Nothobranchius furzeri: one gene and its partners. The protein of the gene in region 4 interacts with the protein of the main gene of each other region in a biochemical or structural test. Links are inferred from orthologs where the notes say so. Each region holds a gene or a part of one and is shown on either strand. Other genes may lie near its edges. The genes, in order: csf3r, GRB2-associated-binding protein 1, dynamin-1, grb2b, inpp5d, microtubule-associated protein 2 and ret.

Evidence for each region.
Region 1: the proteins of grb2b (region 4) and csf3r form a complex in vitro, tested with the Homo sapiens proteins (2 studies listed by BioGRID, with this or other methods). The link is inferred for Nothobranchius furzeri from reciprocal best matches to the Homo sapiens genes GRB2 and CSF3R.
Region 2: the proteins of grb2b (region 4) and GRB2-associated-binding protein 1 form a complex in vitro, tested with the Homo sapiens proteins (5 studies listed by BioGRID and IntAct, with this or other methods). The link is inferred for Nothobranchius furzeri from reciprocal best matches to the Homo sapiens genes GRB2 and GAB1.
Region 3: the proteins of grb2b (region 4) and dynamin-1 form a complex in vitro, tested with the Homo sapiens proteins (5 studies listed by BioGRID and IntAct, with this or other methods). The link is inferred for Nothobranchius furzeri from reciprocal best matches to the Homo sapiens genes GRB2 and DNM1.
Region 5: the proteins of grb2b (region 4) and inpp5d interact in a test that uses a peptide from one of them, tested with the Homo sapiens proteins (2 studies listed by BioGRID). The link is inferred for Nothobranchius furzeri from reciprocal best matches to the Homo sapiens genes GRB2 and INPP5D.
Region 6: the proteins of grb2b (region 4) and microtubule-associated protein 2 form a complex in vitro, tested with the Homo sapiens proteins (3 studies listed by BioGRID and IntAct). The link is inferred for Nothobranchius furzeri from reciprocal best matches to the Homo sapiens genes GRB2 and MAP2.
Region 7: the proteins of grb2b (region 4) and ret form a complex in vitro, tested with the Homo sapiens proteins (3 studies listed by BioGRID). The link is inferred for Nothobranchius furzeri from reciprocal best matches to the Homo sapiens genes GRB2 and RET.

What each region holds. Positions count from the first base shown.
Region 1 is NC_091745.1:71,081,511-71,085,010, reverse strand, and holds part of csf3r (granulocyte colony-stimulating factor receptor), read left to right. Parts: intron 1-858; 5' UTR 859-866; coding exon 867-933; intron 934-1,053; coding exon 1,054-1,362; intron 1,363-1,654; coding exon 1,655-1,787; intron 1,788-1,881; coding exon 1,882-2,048; intron 2,049-3,500. UniProt on the Homo sapiens protein: Receptor for granulocyte colony-stimulating factor (CSF3), essential for granulocytic maturation. Plays a crucial role in the proliferation, differentiation and survival of cells along the neutrophilic lineage.
Region 2 is NC_091742.1:87,973,461-87,977,603, reverse strand, and holds the start of GRB2-associated-binding protein 1, read right to left. Parts: upstream 2,801-4,143; 5' UTR 2,440-2,800; coding exon 2,365-2,439; intron 2,334-2,364; exon of another isoform or gene 934-2,333; coding exon of another isoform or gene 913-933; intron 1-912. UniProt on the Homo sapiens protein: Adapter protein that plays a role in intracellular signaling cascades triggered by activated receptor-type kinases. Plays a role in FGFR1 signaling. Probably involved in signaling by the epidermal growth factor receptor (EGFR) and the insulin receptor (INSR).
Region 3 is NC_091750.1:35,487,615-35,491,114, forward strand, and holds part of dynamin-1, read right to left. Parts: intron 3,219-3,500; coding exon 3,069-3,218; intron 2,996-3,068; coding exon 2,792-2,995; intron 2,685-2,791; coding exon 2,586-2,684; intron 2,501-2,585; coding exon 2,340-2,500; intron 1,677-2,339; coding exon 1,534-1,676; intron 1,448-1,533; coding exon 1,312-1,447; intron 1,235-1,311; coding exon 1,167-1,234; intron 1,083-1,166; coding exon 944-1,082; intron 1-943. UniProt on the Homo sapiens protein: Catalyzes the hydrolysis of GTP and utilizes this energy to mediate vesicle scission and participates in many forms of endocytosis, such as clathrin-mediated endocytosis or synaptic vesicle endocytosis as well as rapid endocytosis (RE).
Region 4 is NC_091752.1:67,730,130-67,734,177, forward strand, and holds the start of grb2b (growth factor receptor-bound protein 2b), read right to left. Parts: upstream 2,801-4,048; 5' UTR 2,663-2,800; intron 1-2,662. UniProt on the Homo sapiens protein: Non-enzymatic adapter protein that plays a pivotal role in precisely regulated signaling cascades from cell surface receptors to cellular responses, including signaling transduction and gene expression.
Region 5 is NC_091756.1:60,966,763-60,970,262, forward strand, and holds part of inpp5d (phosphatidylinositol 3,4,5-trisphosphate 5-phosphatase 1), read left to right. Parts: intron 1-1,652; coding exon 1,653-1,788; intron 1,789-2,285; coding exon 2,286-2,418; intron 2,419-2,542; coding exon 2,543-2,683; intron 2,684-2,769; coding exon 2,770-2,854; intron 2,855-2,936; coding exon 2,937-3,014; intron 3,015-3,109; coding exon 3,110-3,187; intron 3,188-3,288; coding exon 3,289-3,412; intron 3,413-3,500. UniProt on the Homo sapiens protein: Phosphatidylinositol (PtdIns) phosphatase that specifically hydrolyzes the 5-phosphate of phosphatidylinositol-3,4,5-trisphosphate (PtdIns(3,4,5)P3) to produce PtdIns(3,4)P2, thereby negatively regulating the PI3K (phosphoinositide 3-kinase) pathways.
Region 6 is NC_091742.1:61,535,030-61,537,633, forward strand, and holds the end of microtubule-associated protein 2, read right to left. Parts: intron 2,231-2,604; coding exon 2,118-2,230; intron 2,040-2,117; coding exon 1,830-2,039; 3' UTR 501-1,829; downstream 1-500. UniProt on the Homo sapiens protein: The exact function of MAP2 is unknown but MAPs may stabilize the microtubules against depolymerization. They also seem to have a stiffening effect on microtubules.
Region 7 is NC_091752.1:5,725,373-5,729,594, forward strand, and holds the start of ret (proto-oncogene tyrosine-protein kinase receptor Ret), read right to left. Parts: upstream 2,801-4,222; 5' UTR 2,596-2,800; coding exon 2,523-2,595; intron 1-2,522. UniProt on the Homo sapiens protein: Receptor tyrosine-protein kinase involved in numerous cellular mechanisms including cell proliferation, neuronal navigation, cell migration, and cell differentiation in response to glia cell line-derived growth family factors (GDNF, NRTN, ARTN, PSPN and GDF15).

The DNA of each region.
Region 1 (3,500 bases), on a different chromosome or scaffold from region 4:
GGCACCATCTAGTGGCTGACAAGCATATCACACAAAACGTCTGTCGATCCGTTTTATTAAGATGGCGACTTCACGTTTCTTGTTTATTTATGTGCTTCTATAGCCGACAAACAAAGCTGAAACGCATTATTTCACAAGTATTATCTTCATGTCATGTTGCATTTTCATATATTTATATTTTAAAGACTTACTTGTCTGTAAAAAGTTCATCAACTCTGCATCAGCTGAGGTACTTCCTTAAATTTGAAGCACATAAGCTAACGCCATTGGTTAGTTCTGGTCGGCGCTCAGTTTCCTATTGCACAGAGCTCTGCGGTGCAGGCTTAGCAAAGAAAAGAAAAATATGCATTGCTTACACGGTAAGACAATCACTTTTACGGATTTCTGAAAAATCATATGTAATTTCTACTTTAACATTATTGGATTCTATACTGCTGTCTGAAGCTAACTTCCCCTCCTGCTGACTCCTACGTCCTCAAACAGGTGCACCGGAGCTTTTTTTTCCCCTAGAGAATGACTTGCAAGGCATGCATTTCTACTAGAGACCACTGCAAATGTATTAAAACTATAAGTGAAGTTGACCTTTAAACATAAGAAACCATAAATGTGAACATTTCTGAGCTCCAAAAGCACCGTGACAAACTGATTCAGAGGCAACAAATAAAGACAGATGTATCGAGAGTCGTGGAGACCAAAGCAAAACAGCAACAACATCAAACTTGATGTTACTTTTCTTTCTAATTTTTTCCTTCATCACTTGAAAAGCAGGGCAGTTCAGATGTTTCTCCTATTTTTAATAGAAAAAGCATGCAAGTTTGTAAATTTAAGAGCATGGACTTCAATTTGGCTGCCCAACAGGTTTTGTCATGATGTTGTCTTCATGGATGTTGGTGACGGCCGTGCTGGTCACATCTGCCGGTGGGGCGAGCGACGGTGAGTGCTGCTTTTAGAAAGTCATCAAAATGGAAATGTCTAAACACTCCTTACAAAGACAAGTTTTCTTTTCTTCATTCAGAATTTCTCTGACTTCCGTTGATTTTATTTCGTCTTTAGAGGACGACACCCAGCCATGTGCGAAGGTCCACACCTCGAGCTCGGCTGTGCCTCTGGGGTCACCTGTCACCGCCACCTGCGTCATCAGAAAGGACTGCCTTCTGGTCACCGCACAAGCTGCTCCGATTGAGTGGCGTCTTGGCTCTGACTTTATTCCCAGCAGCCCCGTGGCCAATGAGAGGTTCAGGGTTTCTAAGGTTGTGGTATCTAGCTTCAATCACACCAGGGCAGTCCTCACCTGCGGCGTTTGTTTACCCGACAACGAGTCTTCATTTCAAATCTATGCAGGAGTTGAGATCCGAGCTGGATGTAAGAACATTTTGAGTTCTTTCACGTGTTTGATGGAAGTATTCATTAAAAATAATCAGATTTTATTATGTTTTTATCCACCTGTAAAAAAAAAACAAATTGTCTTGTTTTAGCAGATCGCTGCATCCTGGTCAGTTAGGGAACATTTTTGGGATTTGTTGCAGAATATGTCTACTTTGCATAATCAAATTTCAGTCTATGCTTACACCTAGACAAGAGCTACTGACTGCGTTACAATGTGCGGGTAAATTTTCAGTAAAACTTACTTTTTAGCGCTTATTTTGACTATTAGATCCACCACAAATCCCCCAGAACCTGAACTGTCAGGCAAACTTCACCTATCGCCCCACCCTCACCTGTAGATGGGACCCAGGACTGCAGGAGACACACCTCCCGACAAAATACACCCTCTACACTCAGATATGGTAACTGTAAATTCTACAAAACAGTGGCATGTACTGAGAGTGTATTTTCATTAGGCTGTAGAACTGAGTTTCCCACATATTGTGATCATTTCAGGGACTTAGACAAGAATTATACCTATGAGCTACCTTCAGGAGTCCACCACTACACCATCCCTCGCTCTAACTTTGTTCTGTTCTCTGAAATGAAAATCTACGTGAAGGCGGAGAATAACCTTGGAGAGGCAGCATCAGTGCCCATCATCCTGGAGCCAGTTGGTGCAGGTAGGAGTTTATGAAAATTACTGGTCAAGTAAAGTTTTTATATAGAATTTTATGGACTTTTTCAAAATTGAAAAAAAAATCTAGCTCATATTCCCTTTTTTTAAATCTGATCTTACCGTCTATCGTTCCAGTTTCATGTATTGCTGTTGAATTGTAAATAAAAATAATATTTTATGTAGTCAAGTTACTAAAAATAGAATTTACATTTGTTTGATATTAAATATGAAAAAATAAAAGCATGTCAATATCTTATCACAATGAATAACATGGAAAAAGCGGGAAAACTTAGAATAGATTTTCTATTTTTCACCAGTGGTGCCCCCAAGGGGTGGTCAGAGGGGGCATGGCCACGCCTAGAAAATTGCTGGCCACACCACTGGTCCAAGGGAAGACCCCCATTATAAAATATCTTATTCAGGTTCACATAAATCTTCACTTTTTTATCAACACATAAATGTAAAACCTATAAAAATATAGAATTAATTTAAATAAATGCTGGTCATCATTTTCTAAACAAGTACAAATCTCTATAGTTGTTGTGAAGACTGCAACATGCATCAAACTCTTCTAAAATTAATTTTAAATAATTTTTGTTAAAATATTCATTCAAATAAATATTTTAAATGTCTTTCTGAAATGTTTCTGTTTCTCAAATGTGATGTAAATGGGTTGGGTGTGCATTGTTTTTGTAATGAAAGTTAACAAAGGAGCTACATAAAACACAAAACTGCAAAAACTGATTTTCAAGAAAGTAAAAAGGCCTAAAGGGCTAAAAAATAATAATAATAACTAGAATCCTCAAATGCTTTACTAACCATTTGGAGGAGAAACTACACTGCTCACAAGAATTAAAGGAACACTTTTTATTGGGCCTGGCGTGAAATCCATTAAACCTGTCTGATAATTTCCTGGTTGATTAAGCAGCTGAGGGCATTGTTAATCACTTTCAGCTGTATTGGTGTTCATGGACTTAACGACAGGTGCACTAAAGTGGCAACAATTACAAAACCCTCAAAACAGGACTGGTTTAACATGTAGAGGTCACTTCAAGTTTCTCCCTCTTGATCTTTTTCGGCTGGTTTCCCACTCGTGCTAGTTTTGGCTCTCTACTGGCAGTACGAGGCGATTCCTTAACCCTACAGAAGTTACACAGGTTGTCCAACTTCTCCAGGATGGCACATCCACACGTGCTGCAGCAAGAAGGTTTAATATGTTTCGGTCCATTAGGCGGCGCCAGGTTGCTCCTCAGACTGTACAAGAGCTCAGGGATGCCCTCACACAGATCTGGGAGGAAATGCCACAAGACACCATCCGCTGTCTCATTAGGAGCATGCCCCGACGTTGTCAAGCATGCACACAAGCTCGTGGGGGCCACACAAGATACTGAAAAGCAATTTGAGTTGCAGAAATGAAGTTTTTGAAATAATGGACTAGCCTGCCACATCTTCATTT
Region 2 (4,143 bases), on a different chromosome or scaffold from region 4:
AAAATTAGCCTGCTGGCTAACACTGGCACATTTACAGTAACGTATATTAATGTGCACGGTCCTTAAATAAATAAATGAAATGAAATAATCAGGGCTGCATGGTGGCGCAGTGGTTAGCACTGTTGCCTCGCAGCACGAAGGTTGCAGGTTCGAAACTCGGCTGTGGCCTTTCTGTGTGGAGTTGGGTGTTCTCCCCATGCATGCGTGGGTTTCCTCCGGGTACTCCGGTTTCCCCCACAGATCACAACATGCCCTATAGGTTATACATTGTAAGTCGCTTTGGATAAAAGCGTCGGCCAAATAAATAAACATAAACATAAGGCGTTACCCCCCCACCCCACAACCCCCCACCCTCCCTGAGATGTTAGGAATAACAAGGGTGATGTTTTAAGTAGATCCTGATTCTAATCAACAGGATCAAATATTAGCGTTCTCCGTGCTTTCTCCGCCTGTTTCCATGAACATGTCTGACTTTAATATTCATGCATAAAAAATAGTAATTTGGTTAAAAAATAAAAACACTGTTGAGACTGGAGAGGTTTGATGACAGATGAGTTTTGATCCGAGCAACATCAGCAAACCACATAAAACTTTATTTCTAACCACTAAACTGAACCAGAGAATAAAAAAAGTTTAAAAAGCGCTTTTTAAAAATTATTCTGTGAAGAAGTGTTCTATTTTTGATTTAATCATGTGAAGGCGACATATTAGTAATAATAGAGATAAGTTATTTTCCTGCAGCGATCTCCTCTGGTTTCCTGATGTTTGCTCCTTTGACCTTTGACCTCAGCCGGAAGCAGCTACAATAGAGTTAAAATATCTCTTCCCTTTTCCTGCCTCCAAACTAAAATTACCCCCAAAAGAAACATCTCCTTATTTAGATGAACCCTCTACATGTCGATTCTCTCTCACCAACTTTAGAGCCGAGTCCATGAAACCTCAGACGTGACGTCGCCATCAGACTCTCAGAGGGTGGCTGTGGCTCACTCATTTATCGATCCCGAAAGTCATGGAGAACTTTTAATGGTTCCATCACAGGATGAAGAATAAAACTCAACAATGTGAAATCAGACTTGTTTACATTTGAAAACAAGTTTCAGGTCAGCTTCCCTCCCGTCAGACTGTCATAAACGCATCTGTGACGCGTACACCCGCTGACGTCAGCGACGTCACGTTTACGCTCTCTCCGCGTTTCCAGATGCCCTAAAAGCTTCCAGGCAGGCCCAGCTGAGAGCGATTAGTTTATTACGCAACACACACTCTCTCACACCCGAACGCACTTTCTCCTACACACACACACACACACACACTGCTTTCGACAGAGCAGGGAGGTTAAGAGGAGGTAGGCTGCAGCAGGAACTTCATCCACATTCTTTACAGGAACACGTGGAGGCTGCTGCAGCCTTTAGGGCCGCTCGAGTCTGGTTTTATGGTGTTGACAATGGAAACATAGCTGTGTGTGTGTGTGTGTGTGCTAGATTGTACATGCGAGGACTAAATCTTTTTTATGATGTCTTCCTCTTTGGTTTCCCCTGCTGACCGCCTGTCCTGTCCAGTGGTTCCCTCCTAAAAACCTTTTCCTGCAAACATCTCTGAAACCAGCTGATTCGTTAGAAGCATGCTGGGATGTCCCATATCTGAGCTCGTTTTCTCTGAACTGAAGGTTTCAAACAGCAACGCTACTAAAAATAGATCCCTCTTGCTCTGATTTAGTCCTCCTTTACTTTCCGTACAAACAGAGAAAGGAAGGCATGTGACCAAAGGAGAGGAAGAGAGAGTACAACAAATGAAAGAGAAAGAGTGATGGAAGAGTAGACCGCAGACATTGTTCTGCTTCTCCCTGCAAACGGGAGGAAATATGGAGGAGAGATGAGATTAGGTCAAGTCACGGGGAAGGCATGTCAGAAATGTGGTGTGTGTGTGTGTGTGTGTGTGTGTGTGTGTGTGTCCGATCCAGCTCTCTGGCATCAGGTGTTGGAGATTTGAATTTAAAGATGCAGAATGAACTTTGTGTCGTTTCCACTAACCGTTGAGTTAACTGTTAAAGATTTACAGTAGGAAATGGAAACCTGGTGCTGTGGATCCAGATTTAACAGTTTGGTTTATTATCAGCAGACAAAAGTTAGATGAGAACGTTTCTGGGTCTCAGCTCAGCGGCTGCTCTCTGCTGGACGTGTTTATTGTTTTACAGTCATGGCTTTAGGAAATGACTCACGTCCACGGTGACAGCACACCGATGATGATTAAAGTTAAGAAAAAATACTCAGATGAGCATCCATCAACACCAGTCCAGTGCCGGTGGAGTGTGTTTAATCTAGTTAGAAATAAAGAAATAGATGAGTTTTTGAAACTGAGAGGACTCACGTATCTCCGTAGCTTCTTCTCTGGTGGGGATTTCCTCAGCCATCCTTCACACACCACATCTGCCGCTCCGCTCATCCTGATGTTTCTGGTTAGTCAGTCACCCTGTCAACAGCCGGTCGGGAGTCAGATCAGGTGAAGATCCCGTCTGAATCCACAGACTCAACCAGCAGAACCTCGCACCAGACTCCAGCCGGCAGGAGTTTGAATCAGAAGAACCCAAAACAACTCAGGACCTCAGATCAGCTCTGTCCTCACACACGTTTCCCTGGCTGAGAAGAATCCTGTTTGGGAGGAGCTCATCCACACACACACCAGAGCTGCTCCGCGTCTGCTGACTAACGCAGTCACACCTCCTCCTGAGAGACTTATTTCCCAACAGAATCACTCCTCCCTCCATAACCAAACACAATCCCTCAGCTCAGACATTCCTTCTCTCCTCTCCTCCCTCTCTTTGGCTCCTCCCCTTCCTGCTCACTCCCCCTATTCTGTTAGACAGGAAAAAAATCCCCCCCCCCCCCATGTGTGAGGAATGGTTTTCAAACAAAACTTTCAGTAACCGTCGCCAGTTTTCAGGTCTTCTGATGCAAAAAACTAAATCCCGAGTTATGAGAACGGACATTTTTCAATGTTTTTACTAAATTTTTCTGAGAACTGTCGAAACCCCCTTGATGATCGATTGTATGTTAAAATAAGTTTTCAATACAACAAATATCAGGCATCATTTTGTAATATTATACCAATATTTACCACAGCCACCACTCTGTGATAATTACTATTAAATGATTACATTTCATAAATAAACTATAATGTTTTTTTCTTCCACATCATTCATCAGCGTTCCCCTGAGCTTTACACTCACACACACTGAACCGTTTTTATTACCAAACTCATAACGTTCATGCACAAGCGCCTCTGCTGTTCTGCCCTTAAAACAGACGCAGGTTTAGTCGTGAATCTCTGGAGCTGCGCACTTACCATACCGACTGGTTTGTGGACTGCTGCTCCACATGGGAAGACAAAACAATAGAACTAATGACAAGGAGGCGAACGGGGGGTGACTCTGGGGGAATGCCCACCCTCTGGAGAACACCCTGCATTGCTCCAGTGCCCAAAAATAACCGGGCACGTGAGCCAAATGACTTCCAAGTAGAGGCGCTCGCATCACACCTAAGGGTGACCAGATCCCAACTTGGCACACGTGGGACAGAGACAACTCAAATATGGGACAACGTTAAGCTCCACTTTAATGAGAAAAAACAAACACACAAAACGTATATTCTGCCTTTTAGCCCTAACATCACTGTTACATATACATACAATGATTATTCTTATTATTAAATATTTCTTGTATATATTTCATTTGAATTCAACATGAAGAAGCATACAGCAAAAGCTTTACTATTTCACTGTTCCCCTCAAGTTACCACATTACTCAGTAGTGGCTCTGATCATTTTAATAACATAGATCGGCCCACAATAATAAAAAAATGCAGGTTTAAGCAGCTTTTCAGAGTTTTCATTGAATGTTTTCCACAACAGAATGACAGTAAAAGTACCCGTAATATTTTTTAGATCTTTTTATGTTTGTTTTAATTAATTTTCCACTAACATCAGCATCTCATTAAAAAAAATATCCATACTTTTTTGCCATTTTTTTCTTAATTCAGAAACAAAACGTTTTTTTAAACATGACAACAAATCTCTTCTAGATTTTAGGTGAGATAATAAACATCAAATTCTAATCTGTAAAAAGTCAGATCTAATCTGCAGGGAGTGCAG
Region 3 (3,500 bases), on a different chromosome or scaffold from region 4:
TAGATAGATAGATAGATAGATAGACAGACAGACAGACAGACAGACAGACAGATAGATAGATAGATAGATAGATAGATAGATAGATAGATAGATAGATAGATAGATAGATAGATAGATAGATAGATAGATAGATAGATAGATAGATAGATAGATAGATAGATAGATAGATAGATAGATAGATAGATAGATAGATAGATAGATAGATAGATAGATAGATAGATAGACAGATAGATGATAGATAGATGATAGATAGATAGATAGATAGATAGATAGATAGATAGATAGATAGATAGATAGATAGATAGATAGATAGATAGATAGATAGATAGATAGATAGATAGATAGATAGATAGATAGATAGATAGATAGATAGATAGATAGACAGATAGATGATAGATAGATGATAGATAGATAGATAGATAGATAGATAGATAGATAGATAGATAGATAGATAGATAGATAGATAGATAGATAGATAGATAGATAGATAGATAGATAGATAGATAGATAGATAGATAGATAGATAGATAGATAGATAGATAGATAGATAGATAGATAGATAGATAGATAGATAGACAGATAGATGATAGATAGATGATAGATAGATAGATAGATAGATAGATAGATAGATAGATAGATAGATAGATAGATAGATAGATAGATAGATAGATAGATAGATAGATAGATAGATAGATAGATAGATAGATAGATAGATAGATAGATAGATAGATAGATAGATAGATAGATAGATAGATAGATAGATAGATAGATAGACAGATAGATAGAAGTTCATGGTTGGTTAACAGCAACTTCACCTTTCTCCATTGGGTTGGTGTGTGTGTGTGTGTGTGTGTGTGTGTGTGTGCGTGCGTGTGTGTGTGTGTGTGTGTGTGTGTGTGTGTGTGTGTGTGCGTGTGTGTGTATGGGTGGGGGGGGGGGGTACCTTCTGTGTACACTGCCTGACGGTGTTGACCAGCTCGGTGATCACCAGGTCTACACACTTCTGACACGGCTCTTTGAGTTGAGCGATCTGACGCTTCACAATCGTCTCGAATGCCATGTCAGGTGTGAACAGACCCGTCCTGGGTGGACACAGGCGACACCACACAGGTGAGACCAGATCGGTGAGTATTCTAACCTAAGTAGCCGACAGTCGCTTTGCCCACCTGATTCCATGGATGTTCTTGATGGCGTAGCTGATTTCCTTTCGTAGAGTCTTCTCATCACCCTCCAGCTGCCATTGAAACGCATCACCGACAGCGGTTCACTTGGGTCTAATCACCATGGCAACTGCTCTGTGTGTGCATTTACCTTAACCAGTTCAAAGGGGAAGCGCTCGTGGAAGACACGGTTGATCTTTGCTCCTCCTGATAATTCGTATGTGTCCACCTGGTCTCCAGAACCTTCAATCCGCTTCTCAAAGTCCACCGCAAACTGCTGCACCATCCTGACACACACACACACACACATGCCTAAAGTACGGTGTGGTACCGAGTTGTTCTGAGTAGTACTTTGTTATATACCAGTACTGACTGTAACAGGGCTTTGGTCTTGCGGCTTGGGTCATCCGGCCTGAAGTTCTTGTACTCCTCCACCTCCTTCTCAATGGACAACAGCTGGCTCTGTAGTTTGCTTCGTAATCCTGGCAAAGTGTCCCGGATGTGGTTGGTCAGTTGCTATGGAAACAGAGAATTCCTCTGTTACTGTGGCAGCAGGAACGAGGAACGAGCACGGTTTCTGTGGTTTGAGAAGGTTTTTTGGACCAGACAACAAAACAACAGCAACACAACCACGAGGCAGCAAGCAGGGCTGAACTATAGAAGGTGAAACATCAAAAAGGCAACATCTGACTTATCTGCTACTTTAGGTCAGAAATCACCTCAAGAAACATTAGAACTCAGAACCAAACCTTCTAAAAACGATGACACAGCTCCAGAAGCCTCAACCTGAGTCCAAAAGGAACAGGTAAGAGCTGGAATCCGCTAGCTAGGAGTTAGCTTTCAGGACCTCCAGACGAAAATCCACTAGAAGCAGGTGTTCACTGGTGCTGCAGAAGCTTAAATCGTGTTTGATAAAAAGGATGGACCGGTCTTCTCACTTTGAGAAGGACTTTATTGAAGACGGTGTTCCTCTGACATACCTGAATCTTGAACTTAGAGAAGCCAAACTGAATGATCGCAGGACCATGCCAGGATATTCTCAAGACTTTCAGGGCGTTAACCTGCAGATATCTGGACTTCCGTCTGGTTCCAGAGTTTTGCTACTTGGATCCAAAACACTGACGGCAACTCAGAACTAGAAACACTGAAACTAAAGTGGGACAAGTTATGTGTGTCTACCTGGTTGAGGACTTTCTGTAGATAGGCAGTGCCCATTCGATCAGCCAGGTGACGATACGAAGGATGAGACAGGAAGAACTTCCTCTCGGCCTGCAGAGCTGCTGTGATATCTTTTTTTCCATCAATGTCTTTTTGACTTCGATTCACCACGCCAATGTAACCTGACACCACAAAATGTTTCACATTGTTGCTGACAATAAACAACTGACAACCAATGAGCAACTAGCGTTAGCCGTGATGTCATACCTCTGCGTAGCGGCAGAAGTTTGTTTTCCAGAATGTCCCTGGCGTCAGTTCCTTCATCCATCAGGTCCAGCTTGGTGATCACACCGATGGTCCTCAGACCTGCAGCACATTAACAAGCTTTACCACACTGGACCAACGTTAGATGGACATGCACACGACGTAGGTGGATGGTAGAGTCAAGTCTGCAGGTCAATGTGGTCTCAGACCTTGTGGGTCCACCTCCTTAGCAATCTTCAAAGCATCAGAGTTGGCGAGGTCAGAGTTGGCTGGAGAAACAGCCAAGAGGAGACAGTTGTCCTTGGTGACAAACTGCAGGAGCATTTCTTTGATCTGGTGTTCAATGTCAGCTGGCTGATCGCCCACAGGGACCTTCGTCATCCCCGGGAGATCCACAAGAGTCAGGTTTAGCACTGCACAAACACACCGTAGTCAGCACGGACCCTTTCTGTCTGATGTCACTCAGGTGTGGCTCAGGTGACTTACCATTGGGGGAATACACCCTCAGGTTGATGGGGACAGGACTGATTCCTTTGTTATGTCCTGTTGCTCGATCGGTTTCAGCCTCGATCTCCTGACGGACTTCATCAAAGTCGGTAAACTTCTTCCCTTTACAGTGCAGGAACTCTGCGTACTCTGATCAAAAACATCAGAAAAACGTCAGAAGGAACGCGGTTTTGGATCAAAGCAGCCAAAAAGAGTTTTTTCCACAGGGTGTCTTGGCTTTCTCTTAAAGATAGTCAGAAGCTTGAGCATCAGGGAGGGGCTCTGAACAGAGGTGCAACGGGCCAACAGGCAGGGCAGGAAATCGGTTGAGGCCCCAGAGGGTTGACAAACTTTGAACGGTGTAACGGGACGGAAGACTGTGTTTTTCCCCTTCTTTGCTCAAGACTAGTCTGCATGAGATGTAACTCAAGG
Region 4 (4,048 bases):
AGTTTATCTGCAAAATCAATCACAGTATAACCAATAACTACAGTAACGTTGCAGAGAGTTTCTTCACAGCAAAAGTTATGGAGGGATACAGATTTTATCAGGCTGTGTGGCCTCGGCTGCCAAAATGTGTGCCCCCCCCCCATCAATAATGCATTTCATCAGGCCACACAGCCTGATAAAATCTGTATCCCTCCATAACTTTTGCTGTGAAGAAGAAATCATCTTCAAAGTTACTGTACTTATTGCTTATATCGTGACTTATTTAGCAAATAAACGATTTCGTGATAACAACGCCAACAAAAACAAAGTGTAAACCGAGAGTAAATTCACCGGAGAGCGACGTCAGGGTAGCTGCAGATTTAAGGGAGCCAAATTTAAGACTTTTTAAGACCTTTTTTAAGGCCACTTTGACCAAATTTAAGCTATTTTAAAAATTAAATTTAAGCGATAATTTCCAGCTCTTGCCTGGAGCCGGTGCTAACCACGTCGCGAACGTGGGATTAGCCATCCAGTTACCATTAAACTTGCCCTTCCCCATGGCGCAAGCTCCCACCAGCTTAACCAGCTAATGTGCTCATCTAAAAATAGCCCCCTTTCACAACCAACTGACTGCGTACGGTTCCGCTTACGGCAACATCGTACACAAAAAATGCTGAACACTAACTAGAGATTCACGAAATTTTTATAGAAATAAAAGAATCTTGTTTATTGGGTCTTTGGTCATTTAAGACCTTTGGAAACTGGATTTAAGGATTATTTGTAATTTTTAAGGACTTTTAAGGCCTTAAATTAGGAAAAGCTAATTTAAGACTTTCTAAGACTTTTTAAGGACCCGCGGATACCCTGTACGTGTTTCCATGGTCACGTCTGGTTTTACAGTATTATAGTATCAAAGTGTTTTTCTATACAAAGTATTCCCAACGGAGCTGGGCTAGTGCCTCCTCCTACTTTGCGCGCTCCCGTGAATGGGGAAACAATTTTTGACGGGGGTAACTACTTTGGCGCAACACCGGCAGCAACTTCGGGGACAAATTTTCAAGTTTAAAAGTAAGTCAGCTAATTTAAAATGTTTTTTTTTTATATCCAAAGAAGTTATCTATGGTTGGTTAGTTGCTTAGTAGTTGCAGCTTCGGTGGCTAGCGGGTAGTAACTCACTTATATTTTTAATTTAATAAACATATACACAATTTAAAAAGTAAAAGACTCGTTAGATATTTATATTGAAACTAATACGTAGAAAATATAACGTTATCTCCCGTGTCATGTGATGCAAGTCTGTTCCATTTAACCGTTTTCTTTGACCAAGGAAGGACAGTGTCCTCGTAAGCAAGGCGCCTTGACACTGAGAACCACCCTGTATGTCTGCAAAGGGAAAAGGCGATGGCACACACATGTAATGGTTTCTGAGGCCAAAACAGAAATTATAATACAACTCTGGTTAAATGCAAAGCCCTCCGAAAAACAGAAATGAGGGGAAAAAAAAAACCCATCAGCACCACTAACCACTTCTACAGCAAGTTTTTCAAATATTTACATTCACAGGAAAATTGTTTATGATTTCTGCTTCATCAGACTGCGCTTTTAACACTTAGGGGGAACATCTATTCATAGCAGTTAGTTAATATTAATGGAGAACATATGGGTTTGGTCCAAGGGTCAGGCCACAATCTGATAATCCCAACAAACCTTTGAGAACAACAACCAGAGATAAGTGGGTTAACGCAGACAGCTCGAAACCTTTTGCTGCAGGGTTGAACTGATAGTCGCCTTATCCAATTAGCTCGTTTGCTAACAGGTGATGGGGACAGAACTGATGAGCTCACACCCACACAGCTCTACCAAATAAGGCCGTTAAACGTGGACAGCTAGCCAGATGCTGGCAGAGGACTAATAATAATAATCATAACAAACAAGCGTGTTGCAATTCTGCAAGACGCATAAAAATACAAGGCATAAGTTAGTGATGGTAGATAGTTTACTAGTTAGTAATAACGGCATTACGTGGGACACTAACGGTGTTATGAAGGAGGTTTTTTGTCACATAACGAGTTGTTGTATCTGAGGAAGTCGAGCCCTGACTGATAAAAGGCTGCTGAACACAAAGGATCACACAAGCACATTAGCGGTGTCATTAAACATCAGGTCATGAAAATGGATGATGAGACGGAGGTGCGACAGAAAAACAGCTGCCAGTTGCCCAAATGTCTCACCTTCGCGTCGTTTCCCAACTTTAAACACAAAACCCAAGCCCGCACGTCGCGTTAGTGGCGATGCCGCCACCAGAACCCGTCTAAAACCGCTTCCCGTGTAAAGGGATCGAATCGGTTCCAGAGAGTAGACTGCGCCCACTGTTCTAGAACGTTAGCACCCCGGCTAACGTTCGGTCAACAATAACTGCGATGCAGTGTGATGATCAAACTTATCGAACGGACTACATTAGATAGAACAGCAGAAGGCGACGTTTAGAGGGGGTTGTAAAAGATTAGTGATGATTAAAGCCCGATAGAAAGCCTCATGATGGGAAACGGGAAAAAGGAAGAAAACACCTTTTTTCTTAGCGCAAGCTGTTGTTGCTAGCTTACAGCTGCTATCGTGAACTTGACTCTGTGAGAAAACACTTTATTGTACACCACATTTATGCGAAACGGTAACGGCGTCTTACCGCTTGCGACGATCGGTTGGGAAGAATCCACCGTAGGGAACAAAACGTTACCGTGTTGTTTAGCTCTCCCTGCTCCCCATAAGAGACAACCAACAGTGTGTAGCGTCGCTCACAGCCCGTCCTAGGAGCCCGAAGCTAGCTGGTAGCAGAGCGTTTATTTCCGCTTCCTTCTGCCGAGCTGGTGCTCTTCAGACCCGAGCTCCTCCCAACAGTCCATGTCAACCCAGCCACCTCTGTTACCGTTTCATCCACAGCCAGGACACTTTTAAACAGACTGGAAAAACGTTGATATGTGATTATAGGGACTTTATCTGGTGACCCGAATCAGTTCAGACTGAAACTTATGGTGTTAAAAGTGAAATTTGTCCAAAACCTAAAAATAAAGTACCTCTCTGCCAGATTAAAAAAACTGCAGTAAGGGATTAGGCAAACAGACGATAATGTTTGATACGCCAGTCTACAACCAACTGAGTGGTTCACTATTTAGCACATCTGCTTTCAATTTTTGTTTTACGGGAGAGATCAAATGCTTTTAAAAGGCTGCCCCCTAGTGGGAAGATACCATCATGACAACAGCACTGGATTGAGCACAGCTGCCTGCTGTCTGTCGCTGGTGTAGCATCGGGCCGCCATATTGGATGGGTCTCCATTCGCCCCGCTACATTAATTTCTACTGAGGAAGATACTTACTCTCAACAAACAAACAAAAAAACCCCACATTTTATCAAGTTTTGTTTCCACAAAATCAGACATATGGTAAGGCATGACCATTAAAACATAAATATAATTAAACAAAAAAAATTACTATATAAAATACCATCAGGTAGGCTAGAAAAGTCAATAGTAACCACATGATCTGTTTACAATTGTCGCTGGTTGTTGCAAATGAAGGCCGCACAAAACCAGGCATAGTTGCCCACTCTGCATTGACTTCAGTTGGGTTTGGAGAGCGAGGAACCTTTCCAATATGGCAACAATGTTTTTACGCCCTCCAGCACCCAATGGGGCGTCTTTTTCAAACTTCTAGAATAAGGCTCTCACACTTTCATGTTTTTATGTTAGTTACAAACGTTAGTGTTTGTTATTATATTTCTGTGGTAAAAGATGATTCAACACGTTTAGATACTGATAGGACGTTTGCCCTGTTTGTTGTATAAAAAATGTGTTCAGTAAAAAAAACCAATGTGGCATCTACAGATTCATGTCTATGGGATTGAAGGTCTAGTGGAAGAGCAACCACCCATGTGGTAGGAAGTGTGAAATGAAAATTCATGTAAAATATTGGAACAAAACATTTAATTGCAATTTAAAGAGATGTTTCTGTCTTTATTAGTCCTCATTTTATTTTTTTTCATATTGTTTTTACGTTGTTCATTCATCATGTGT
Region 5 (3,500 bases), on a different chromosome or scaffold from region 4:
ATGTGCTGAAGTGCTTTTATCTTGAAACTTTTAAATAGAGCAATGTAATGTATGGATAGTAACCTAAACAGTGTCATTGTAAAGCCAAAGCTTGATCAGTTTAAATACTATTTTCCAAGTAAAATGTGCCCCAAACTAGTTAACTGTGGCTCCATGTCAAGTGGACCAAAGAAAGGAAGGGGGAAAAAATCAAATCGCTGGAGAATTGTTTATTTCCATTTATACAGCGTTTACATTCAATACAGGGCGCCATTTTACATTGTTTATTTATTTTTTAGTATCAAGGCTGTAACATAAAGAAAGCCAGTTCTTACCACAAACCATCTTTCAATCGCAAATATTGCAAAAAGGATTAATTTATCCTCATTGCGAACGTTTAAGACAAATAGCAACACTTAAAACAACTTTCCAACTGGAAAAAACTAATATCTGTGATAAACATCTGTTTAAGTACCGGACGAGATTATCTCTGCTTTCTCAATGTCCATATTGCTAGATATGCCGAGTTTTAAGGCCAAATCCCAGGGAATTTCATCTAAAAATGCAATTACCCTAACCATGCACGATCCCGTGGTGGCTAATCATTTTTTGGCAGCCAGTCGCTTTTTGGCACAACACCACCACAGCTGTGATGGGACCTACGGGCCACCGTAGAGGTGAAGGCTAGACTGTCCGACTTCAGAACCGCTGGGTTCCTGTCTTAGCACAGGCGAGGACCCGTACTCATAAGCATCCTGCCCGTGGATTCGGACACACCCACAGAGAGCAGAGCCTGTCTCGGCTAGGAGAAGCTAACTGTTAGCATTAGCAACTCCACTACAATACAGAACACATTTACGCTTGTTTTGTTTGTGGAGATAAAACATAAACGTTGCAGAGCAAACAGCGACAGTCAAAGTACCTCTGTTAGCCACTCTGATGAAGACAACAATGTCAAAACGTTAGTTTCTTTTTATTTGCACCTATTAAATATTTAATCTGACCCGAATACTCCAGCCTCCTTTTTCTATTCCTCAGTTGCTAGTTCCAGCTGTTGAGCACCAGCACTCATTAATTTTTTCCCCTGTTAGCCAATCAGTGGCGAGATGTTTGCGTATCATAAATGCTGAACTCCAAATCCTGCCATTTTCCTCCCCTCACTCCCAAACACAAAGAGGACCTCCTGAAATAGGAGCGCCAGAGCTTTTTTTTTTTTTACCCTGAAAGCAACTCACAAGGCATTTATTCAAAGAGACCACATCAAGTGTATTGAAATGAGCATACAATGTTTCAGGTATATAATACACCACTACTTTCTTTTATATAATAACTATTGTCTAAAATTTACCTCATGAATTATACATGTTTTAAGGATTCTCATGGGGGCTTCCTAAATAAGGCTGTGCCCTTTCAACTCTATTTGTGTCTAAATTATTCTAACTTCTGTATCTTGTTTACTCAAAGAAACCCAAGTCAACTAACTGTCTGTTCACTAACTCAACCGCTGACATCTAAAACCTTCACATATCATTACAGGAAGTTGCCACTGAAAAATGATGACATGTAATTTCGTAACAAATTCCTGAAACTGTCACAAACATGTGACATTAAATTTTTCTCAGTCTATACTAGCAGTTTAAGAATGAATATTTCTGCTTTGATCTGCTCTGCAGGCTTCTGATGGCGTTCCTATCAGGTTCTTCACCATGCTGCCTGAGCTGGTGGAGGCTTATCAAAGCCCCAACATGGGTCTGGTCACGCATCTACAGTACTCCGTCCAGAGGGAGGTGGAGCTGGATGAAGAGCAAGGTCAGAAACCTCCTCTGTATTTATCTATGCAGCAGTTAATAAATGTTACTGCAGCTTAAATAAGCACAAAACATAAAGAAATGTGTTTTAATATAATTGATTTCATTCAATAGAATTGCATTTTTTTTGTATTTTATTTTTGTTTCTTGGTAATGAATCATATTCAATAAACTTTACTATGAGTTAGTTAAAGGTGTATCTAATTCTACTCTAATTTCCCTCTGGGGTTAATAAAGTATCTTTGATTTGATTTGATCTAGTCAGGTCAGGACAGTATTAGCAACCCATTTTTCTCCTACATTTTCTACGTAGCAGATACTTTGACTCATCGTAGCACTGGAGTCGTAAATGATCTTAAAGATGGCCAAGTCAATTTTAGAGGAAAGAGAATGACTTCACAAACCTTCATGTGGCATAAAGCAGTACCAAGAAGCATTGTTAATAAAAGACATCAAACTGTATGCATTTTGAAGCTTTTTGTGCTCTTTATATTACAGAAACTTCCAACCATCCACCACAGCTCCCCCCCAGGAACTTCACCTCAGAAAGTGAATCCAAGACCAGCGAGCAGGCCAGCAAGTCCCTATCAGACACGTACCTCATGAGGCTGCAGTACATGGACCTGTCTGTGTACGGTCACATTTAAGAAAATTACTGAGCATGCAGCACTATCAGAAACATGGAGTTGTGGTTATTTTCCATTGACTTTGCAGGTTCATGACATTAATTTTCGTCTGTTGTGTTTTACCTCCAGACTGTCCGAGGAACATCAAACGGCCATCCAAGAATACTTCAGGACTGCAATCTGCGTAGATGCTGAGCAAGTCCAGAACGGCAACCCTAACCTCCCTGGCCTCAAGAGGCTAATCCAGGCAGTGTGTAAAAATCTAAACAGGTGCATCATCCAGTCAAAAGAACATCCAATATTGTTTTGGCGACTCTGTTCGTCTAACCACAACGATATCCCTTTTTTTGAGACAGTGAAATTTCCAGAATCCTGCCAACTCTGGAGATGCTCCACAGAGCAATGGACCAGCAGCTCTCCCCTGGGATTGGACCAAGACATGTGGGTGTCCTTCATCCATAGAGTTGTTGTCACCACACACAAACATGTTTGCCTCATCCGGTGTCACGTCCTCATTTTCCAGATTTTAACAGATTCAGGACAGAGTGTGTCCTATCGGCTCGAGCAACTCACTAAACTGCTCTACTCAATAGAAGATAAGGTACAGTCCAGCATTTTCTGCTCCCCTGTTTTCAGACACACCAACAGCACATGTTGCTTGTGGATGAAAAAAAGACTTCTCTGTTCCTGTTCCAGGCTAAAGGTTCTGTTTTTGAGTCGGTTGGATATGACGGAGGCCACAGAAACTCTCTCATACCAGTTGCGTCCTTTGAGGTGCTTCCCATTGCTTTTACGTTGTGACACAAATAAAACGAGACGCAGTAAAACACCTGGAGGTTTGTGGTTTATGCCTCCTGGTTTCTTTTGGCTTGCAGGTCAAACAAGAATCTCTCGGTATTTCTACAAAAATGGTTCTGAAGGTGGACGTTGAAAGTGGGAAACTCTACTTTAAGAAGTCAAAAGATGGACCTGAAGACAAATACTTTGTACACAATAAGAGTGAGTAATCTTTGACTTTATTCATTAGCATGGTTTTGTTGTCAGCTTGGGTCAGATGATGGTCAGCTTAAGCTAAAAACACTATTTT
Region 6 (2,604 bases), on a different chromosome or scaffold from region 4:
CCACTAAACGAACACTAGGGGGTGCTAAAAGCAAGCCAAAGCTGCCTGGTCTCTCTTTAAAAGTTTAAAATGTTTTACACTTTTACATTGTCATTGGGGCTAATGGTTATGATTTTTGGGAGACGGCGTGTTGTGTCAGACATGCTTTGATAAAAAAGACAAATATCTGACAGCTTCTATTTATCGATGAAAACAAAAGCATTTGAAATAATCGTGGTGCATTGCAAAGTCTGCCGAAATTGTTGGCATGATAACCGTAAATGAGTCAAACTGTGACACTAGTGAAGATTCACAACTTTAGCTTTTCACCAGTGTGATTGTGTGAATAACTGTTGTGTCGTAAAGTGCCTTTGGGGGTTGTAGGTCTTCAAAAGGTGCAATTTAAATAAAGGTAATTTACCCATATGCAATGTCATCTAACCCTGTTTGACCTGATTGAGTGAGGTACTTGAGAAAGCCGATAACGTTCATAAAAACGAAATAAAATAAACAGAAATGAGTCAGTCTTTATTTTCTTTATTGATGCTGTCATCATCCTGTAAGAGCATTTGTCATCAGAACGTCTCGAATATTGGAAATAGTGCACACACATCTACATGGTCTGTTTTAAATACACTTACACGAGCGGGGGAGGGTGGGTGGTTGGAAAAGAAGAAGCACAGGAAAACATCAGTCAGGACGGGAAAAGGGGGTTCCACAATCGGAAGCATTTTCTTTTGATTGATCCTTTTTAATTGAATTATAAGATCTGCTAGTAGTAGAAAAAAAATCTTTCATTCTTTGTCACTTTTGCTTCTGGCGCCGGTCAAAACCGGCCAATCACAACACAGCTTCTCCGTCACACTGGAATGTTTTCATATAAAGCTTCATACTTCTTACATTTAATTCTAACAGACGTCAGACCCTTTAGTTACTCAAACACACTGTACACTCCAGTCTTAGCAAAATGATAGAAATCACAGGGCTTCTCAGAACGTCACCTTAAGCACGTGAACGCATCCCAGCCATTTACACTCACACTGAAAACTTTAAGACAGTAGATCTAACGTAATCATCATTATTTTGCCACGCCAGCATAACAGCGTTGTGTACCCTCGTAAAGCTACGGCAATAACGACAAAACCCAGAGCTAACAGTAGGTCTGTTCGCAGAAAAGAAACAAAAAATAATCTATTGGAAAGCTAGCTGTTTAGCGCTCGACATTTTTACATTAACTGCAATGGTTATTATAAATGCTAACAAGCCAGAGCAGCCACGGGGAAGGTACAAATCTGTAACACTACGGTAACATTTATATAAAAAGGAAACATAGCAAGAAAACACAATTTAAAACATTGAAGTCCAACAAAGACAGAACAAATCTTAGCAGACATGCCCGTTCGTTTACGTCTTTCCTTAAAATCTTTCGTACATCTGTATCTTTTAAGACAATTAGCTAGAATCGCTTCAGTACCACGAGTGGCCGTGAAGGAGTTCACCTCCGAGTGTGAACCACAAGTGGATTGTTCACACACATTAAACCATTGTACAATCATTGAAACGCATTCTTAGACAATCACAGCCACACAAACCTTCAGGCTAGCAATAAAAACAGAGTATTTGAGTGAAGGAATGAAATAACAAAACTGTTTCCCTTTTTTTGTGAGAGGAGTGAAATATTTCGCAGTTTTTTTAAACTTGAACAAGACGGTTCATCAACTACAGCTGTAGGGGTCACTTGTGTTCAACTGAAGGGTCATGAGGAATTCACCGGATGCTTCATAGCGAGTGGCGAAGGTAGGGGGAGAAGAGTGGTGGTGTGATTCTTTTTTTTTTTCTGTACTAGCAGCTCATAAGCCCTGCTTGGCCAGGGCGGCGGTGACGTCCTGCGCCAGCGTGGACAGCTGAGGCGAATCCATCATGTTCATGCCGTCGGCAGAGGACAGGCGAGGAGAGGTGCCCCCGGTCTCAACGCCCGGGGAGTGGGTGACTATGATTTCTGCGCCGTGATCCACGCGCGCTTTGGCCGTTTCACGGAAACTCAGCTTATGGCTCTCGATCTGATGAATATGAATAAACAATTTTATTTATTAAAGAGTCAGGCAGATTCATCTGAACTTTCAAAAATGTTTCATCACCATGATATTCCCTCCTCCGGGAGTGTGGCTGGCATTATCCATGGAGCCGACCTTAGCGTGGGCCTTGTCTTTGAAATCCAGCTTCACATTCTCAATACGCACATTACCCCCCCCTGGGAACACAACAGCAAAAGGAAGTTAAAAAAAACCCAGAGCATTATCACTGGCAGGCCTGGACTACTCCTAGGCGTTATTAACGAGCCCCCGCACCGTGAGAACAAACACACACACACATATATAAATATATATATATCAGACGTCAAGCTAAACAGACAGGGTTAAAAAATATGGTCGACCTTCTTCCCCATCACTTTCATTTTTTAAGTAGTAATTAATAAACATTCCATACCATTACAATTTCCTTTGATTTAATTTTAAATAAATATTTTAAATAAATATTTAGAGTGCCCAGGTAGCACATAAACAATGAAATTGAACGGTTTTCTTAAAGCAGGAATGTTTAACCTGTGGCCAGAGCTCTCTCCTT
Region 7 (4,222 bases), about 62 Mb from region 4:
TGTGTGGAATAAATTAGACCAGGAGCAAAAAGATTGTTCAACAATGGTAAAGTTTAAGGGTATGTTTAAATCAAATGTGATTAAATATTATGAATCAAGTCAATGAAAAAATGCATAAAACATTAAAGGTCTTTTTTTTTTTTATGAAGCTAGAATGGGGATTTGAATATATTCCCATACATTTCAAACATGATGTAAAAATTATGGAATCGGTACGCTATTCTAAAATTTTGTTTAAGTTCAAAGGGTTTGGGGGGCTGGGCTTATAAGCTTATGCTTCTGCCCGCGCCCATTCTTAGCATTGTGTAAGTTGTGTGTTTGCTTGTAAACCTGCAAATGTTTCTTTGTTATATTATATTGCACTATTGATTTTAATTTCTCATTAATTTCTCATTAAACTTCTCTCTCTTCTCTCACACACACACACACACGCATGCATGCACACACACACGCACACACACACACACACATGCGGACACATGCATGCACACGCGTGCGCACACACACAAGCACACACACACACACGCATGCATGCACACACACACACACACACATGCACACGCACACACACATGCGGACACATGCATGCACACGCATGCGCACGCACACACACACAAGCACACGCACACACACACACACACACACACACACACACACACACACACACACACACACACACACACACACACACACACACACACACAAATCTTTGAAAACTCTTGATTAAAAAAATGCTTCAGTTAGTTTTTAAATATAATTTTCAAGTTCTTGCAGTAAAAATACACCAGAAGCACCAAACTGGAATCCTGAAACTAAAACTTGCTCCACTTAACTTATTTTCCCATTAATCATCCACATCAGCGGCACAAATGTCCAAAAAAGGATCAGAACCTGATTATTGTAGCTCTCACACATGAAATAAAAGTCAGGTAAGTTCTATTTTTAATAGATGAAAACAAATTTTATGTTTTTAATGACAAAACATCAACCAGAGCTTCAATAATAATTTTAAAAAGAGTCATTCATTGAAATTGGTTTCAGAATTAAATGCAAAGACCAATCCGAAACTCAAAAATCTGATTTTAAATAAACGTTTTGGTCTGTGAACGCATCATTACCAAGCGTTAGCCTATTAGCGATGACTGATTTTCTATGCAGACATTTTAATTCTGGAATAATTGTTTTAGTTTTCCTGTTATTACTGTTTGAGAGTTTGAGGATCAGAATCAGACAAAATTGGTAATGGCAGGTCAGATCTGTAAAAAAAAAATCGGAAATTGGTTTAAACTCCTCAAAACCAGAATAGGTGCATTTATAACAACAACAACACTTGTAGTACTGATTTCCTCCACCAGATGGTCGAAAACAAAGAGGATTCAAATAAGCCCTTTTTGCAGAAAGTACTGATCCTGTTAAAGACGTAGAGCTCTTATAAATAAGCACAAACATGCTGTTAAACTGTAAAATTTACCATTTTACTAAAGTCTTTGGTAGAAAATGTCTCTTTTAGTGAAATAATCATAATCACTAAAAAGCAGCAGAAGTGATCAATCTAATGGGTCATTTTACAAGAAGTTTGGTTCTGTCCTGCAGTTGGATCACCGTGCGCACTTATATAACAGGGCAGGCAATATTTCCCTGCAGAAAACAAACAGCCAGTGTTTGCCCAGAGATAAGCGCAGCTGCTGCACACCTGCCTGCAGCTCACCTCTCCTTCTCCCTGGAGCAAACGAGGATCTTTTAGAGCAGACAGGTGATGAGTTAGGAAGGCTGAAGGTCTCAGCGCCCCTTTCATCTCCATCACATCAGGAGCAACCACGCGGCTCCAGAGACAAAACAGTCCAAACAGACTGCAGGAATTCAGCTAATTAAATAACTGGAAGAGCTTCTGATACCAAATGGTCTCAATCACATAAAAGCATCAGATTCTTTAAAGTCTCTGATAAAGTTCTGACATTGACCTCTAATAGGACCACAGTGCTTGCTAAGATTTGCAGTCAAGAGTTTAGAGCCACACTTTAAATAGACTTCACGAGAGGACATGTTTGTGCAGTTGGGCTGTGGGATTGGATGGGATTAGAATATTATGGAGCAAGTTCTCCACAACAAAACCACTGGGTCCTAGTTTCAGGTTACTTCCGGGAAAAAAATGCTTTAAAAAAATCACCCAGCTTCCAAAAGGTGTTCAGCTTTAGGTTAGAGTTCAGAAACCTCTTCTCTTGTTTTTGGATCAGTTTGGCACAGGCACTAATTTATGATTCTGCAATAACATAAAAATACGCATTTTTCTCTTGTAACAGGAAAAGTAATGGAAACAGCTGATTGGCTGATTTTATTGTCGCCAAAATCACCTTAAAGGCTAAATTTGGAACTGTTCTGCAGATTTATGGTTAATCATAATTATTTAATTATTAAGAAGTGACGCCTTCCCTTCAGATTTTTAGTCAAACATCAATTCTATAAATATGTGTAGGTTCCTCCGTTGTTTAATTTGTTAAACAGTAAAATGAGGATGAGCTCACCTCCGAGCAGCAGCAGCAGCAGCAGCTGCAGCGCAGCGACGTTTCCCCGACAGAAGCCACAACTTGACTCCATATTAGAAAACCATTAGGGAAAGTTTCTCAATGAAAATCCAGTCGCTCCTGGAAAAGTTCCCCTCAGATGAGCTAAATAAAGAAGGAGTAGCTGTAAAACCGAGAGAAAAGCGCAGAAATGCGTTATTGAAGGTGTGCGTCCTGCGTCCGGGGAGCCCAGCTGGAGTCCGCGTCCCACAGAAGAGCTCCTGCGGCTGCTGAGGGGCTGGCTGACTGGGGGGGGGGGGGGGGGGGGGGGGGGGCAGGAGGAGGGGGAGGAAAAGGGAGGAGGTTTGCTGCTCCACCGCTCTCTGCCCGCTGGTTCCGCAGCAGCAGGTAGGTCAGCATCTACAGGAAATAAGAGCATCATTTATCCTCAGGCCAGTCATCTCATTAACAGCCAGCAGGAGGTGGGGGTGGGTGTGTATTCTAACTAACTACCTCTAAATGTGTGAAGTCTGGATCAACAAAAAACACGAAAACGATGTTTGACTACAGTCAAAGAATCATTTTGATATAACCTTTTAGAAACAAATTTAAAATAAACGCACAGACATTTAAAAACTACAATCTAAATGTGTAACAGTTAACATAACGCATTTAGATGAAGTTAATTGAAATTGTTTAGTAAATTCAGTTTATTGTGAATTCTAAATATTTTTAATCCAATCTACTGTACAGGTATGTATATTAAGCTTAATCTAAAATTTTAAATACAAACATTTAATAATTAAAGTTATAGTGAAATATTTTAATCAAAGACATTTAAAAATGTCAACTCAAATCTGAATATAAGGCCTTAATTTAATTTATCTGTTTGGAATAGAGACTGAAAATATCAAATCTAAATATTTACAATAAAATTTTTAACAAAAAGACCAAACTAAATATACGAAGATAGAGACATTTCTAAACATATAAAGTTATAATTACATATTTAGAACTAAAACAATATATAAACAAAACCCAAATATTTAGAATCCATTCATTTTCATCCGCTTATCCGGAGTCGGGTAGCGGGGGCAGTAGCCTCAGTTGAGAGGCCCAGACTTCCCTCTCCCCAGCTACTTGGGCCAGCTCCTCCGGGGGAATCCCAAGGCGTTACCTGGCCAGGTGAGAGACATAGTCCCTCCAATGTGTCCTGGGTCTACCTTTAGGCCTCCTCCTGGTTGGACATGCAGAAAACCTCACCAGGGAGTCGTCCAGGAGGCATCCTGACCAGATGCCCGAGCCACCTCAACTGGCTCCTCTCGATGTGGAGGAGCAGCGGGTCCAGTGGCGGCGTCATGGGGCGCTATAGCTACCCCTGGATAAGTCATAGCACCCCCATAGCACCCCCAAGTAAATATTATATATTTTTTTACACTTTAATTTTAATTTAATGTGTGGATGTGAAAATATTTAACAAACAAAACAAAAATAATCAGTAAATTATCATATAGATTGTAAAAACTTAAACCAAAACAGGAAATTGATGTTAACCTATGACCTCTTTTTCCACCTGTGAACGAGTGAAATGTAGAGCTAGCGGTAAAATGGGTCGGGTTTTGTTGCCCACATTTCCACGGGTTCAGTCAGAAACGAATGAATCTTTGGAAGCGATCTCAGACCCACAAAAACCTACGGATCTGGATGAAGAGAGTCAACCC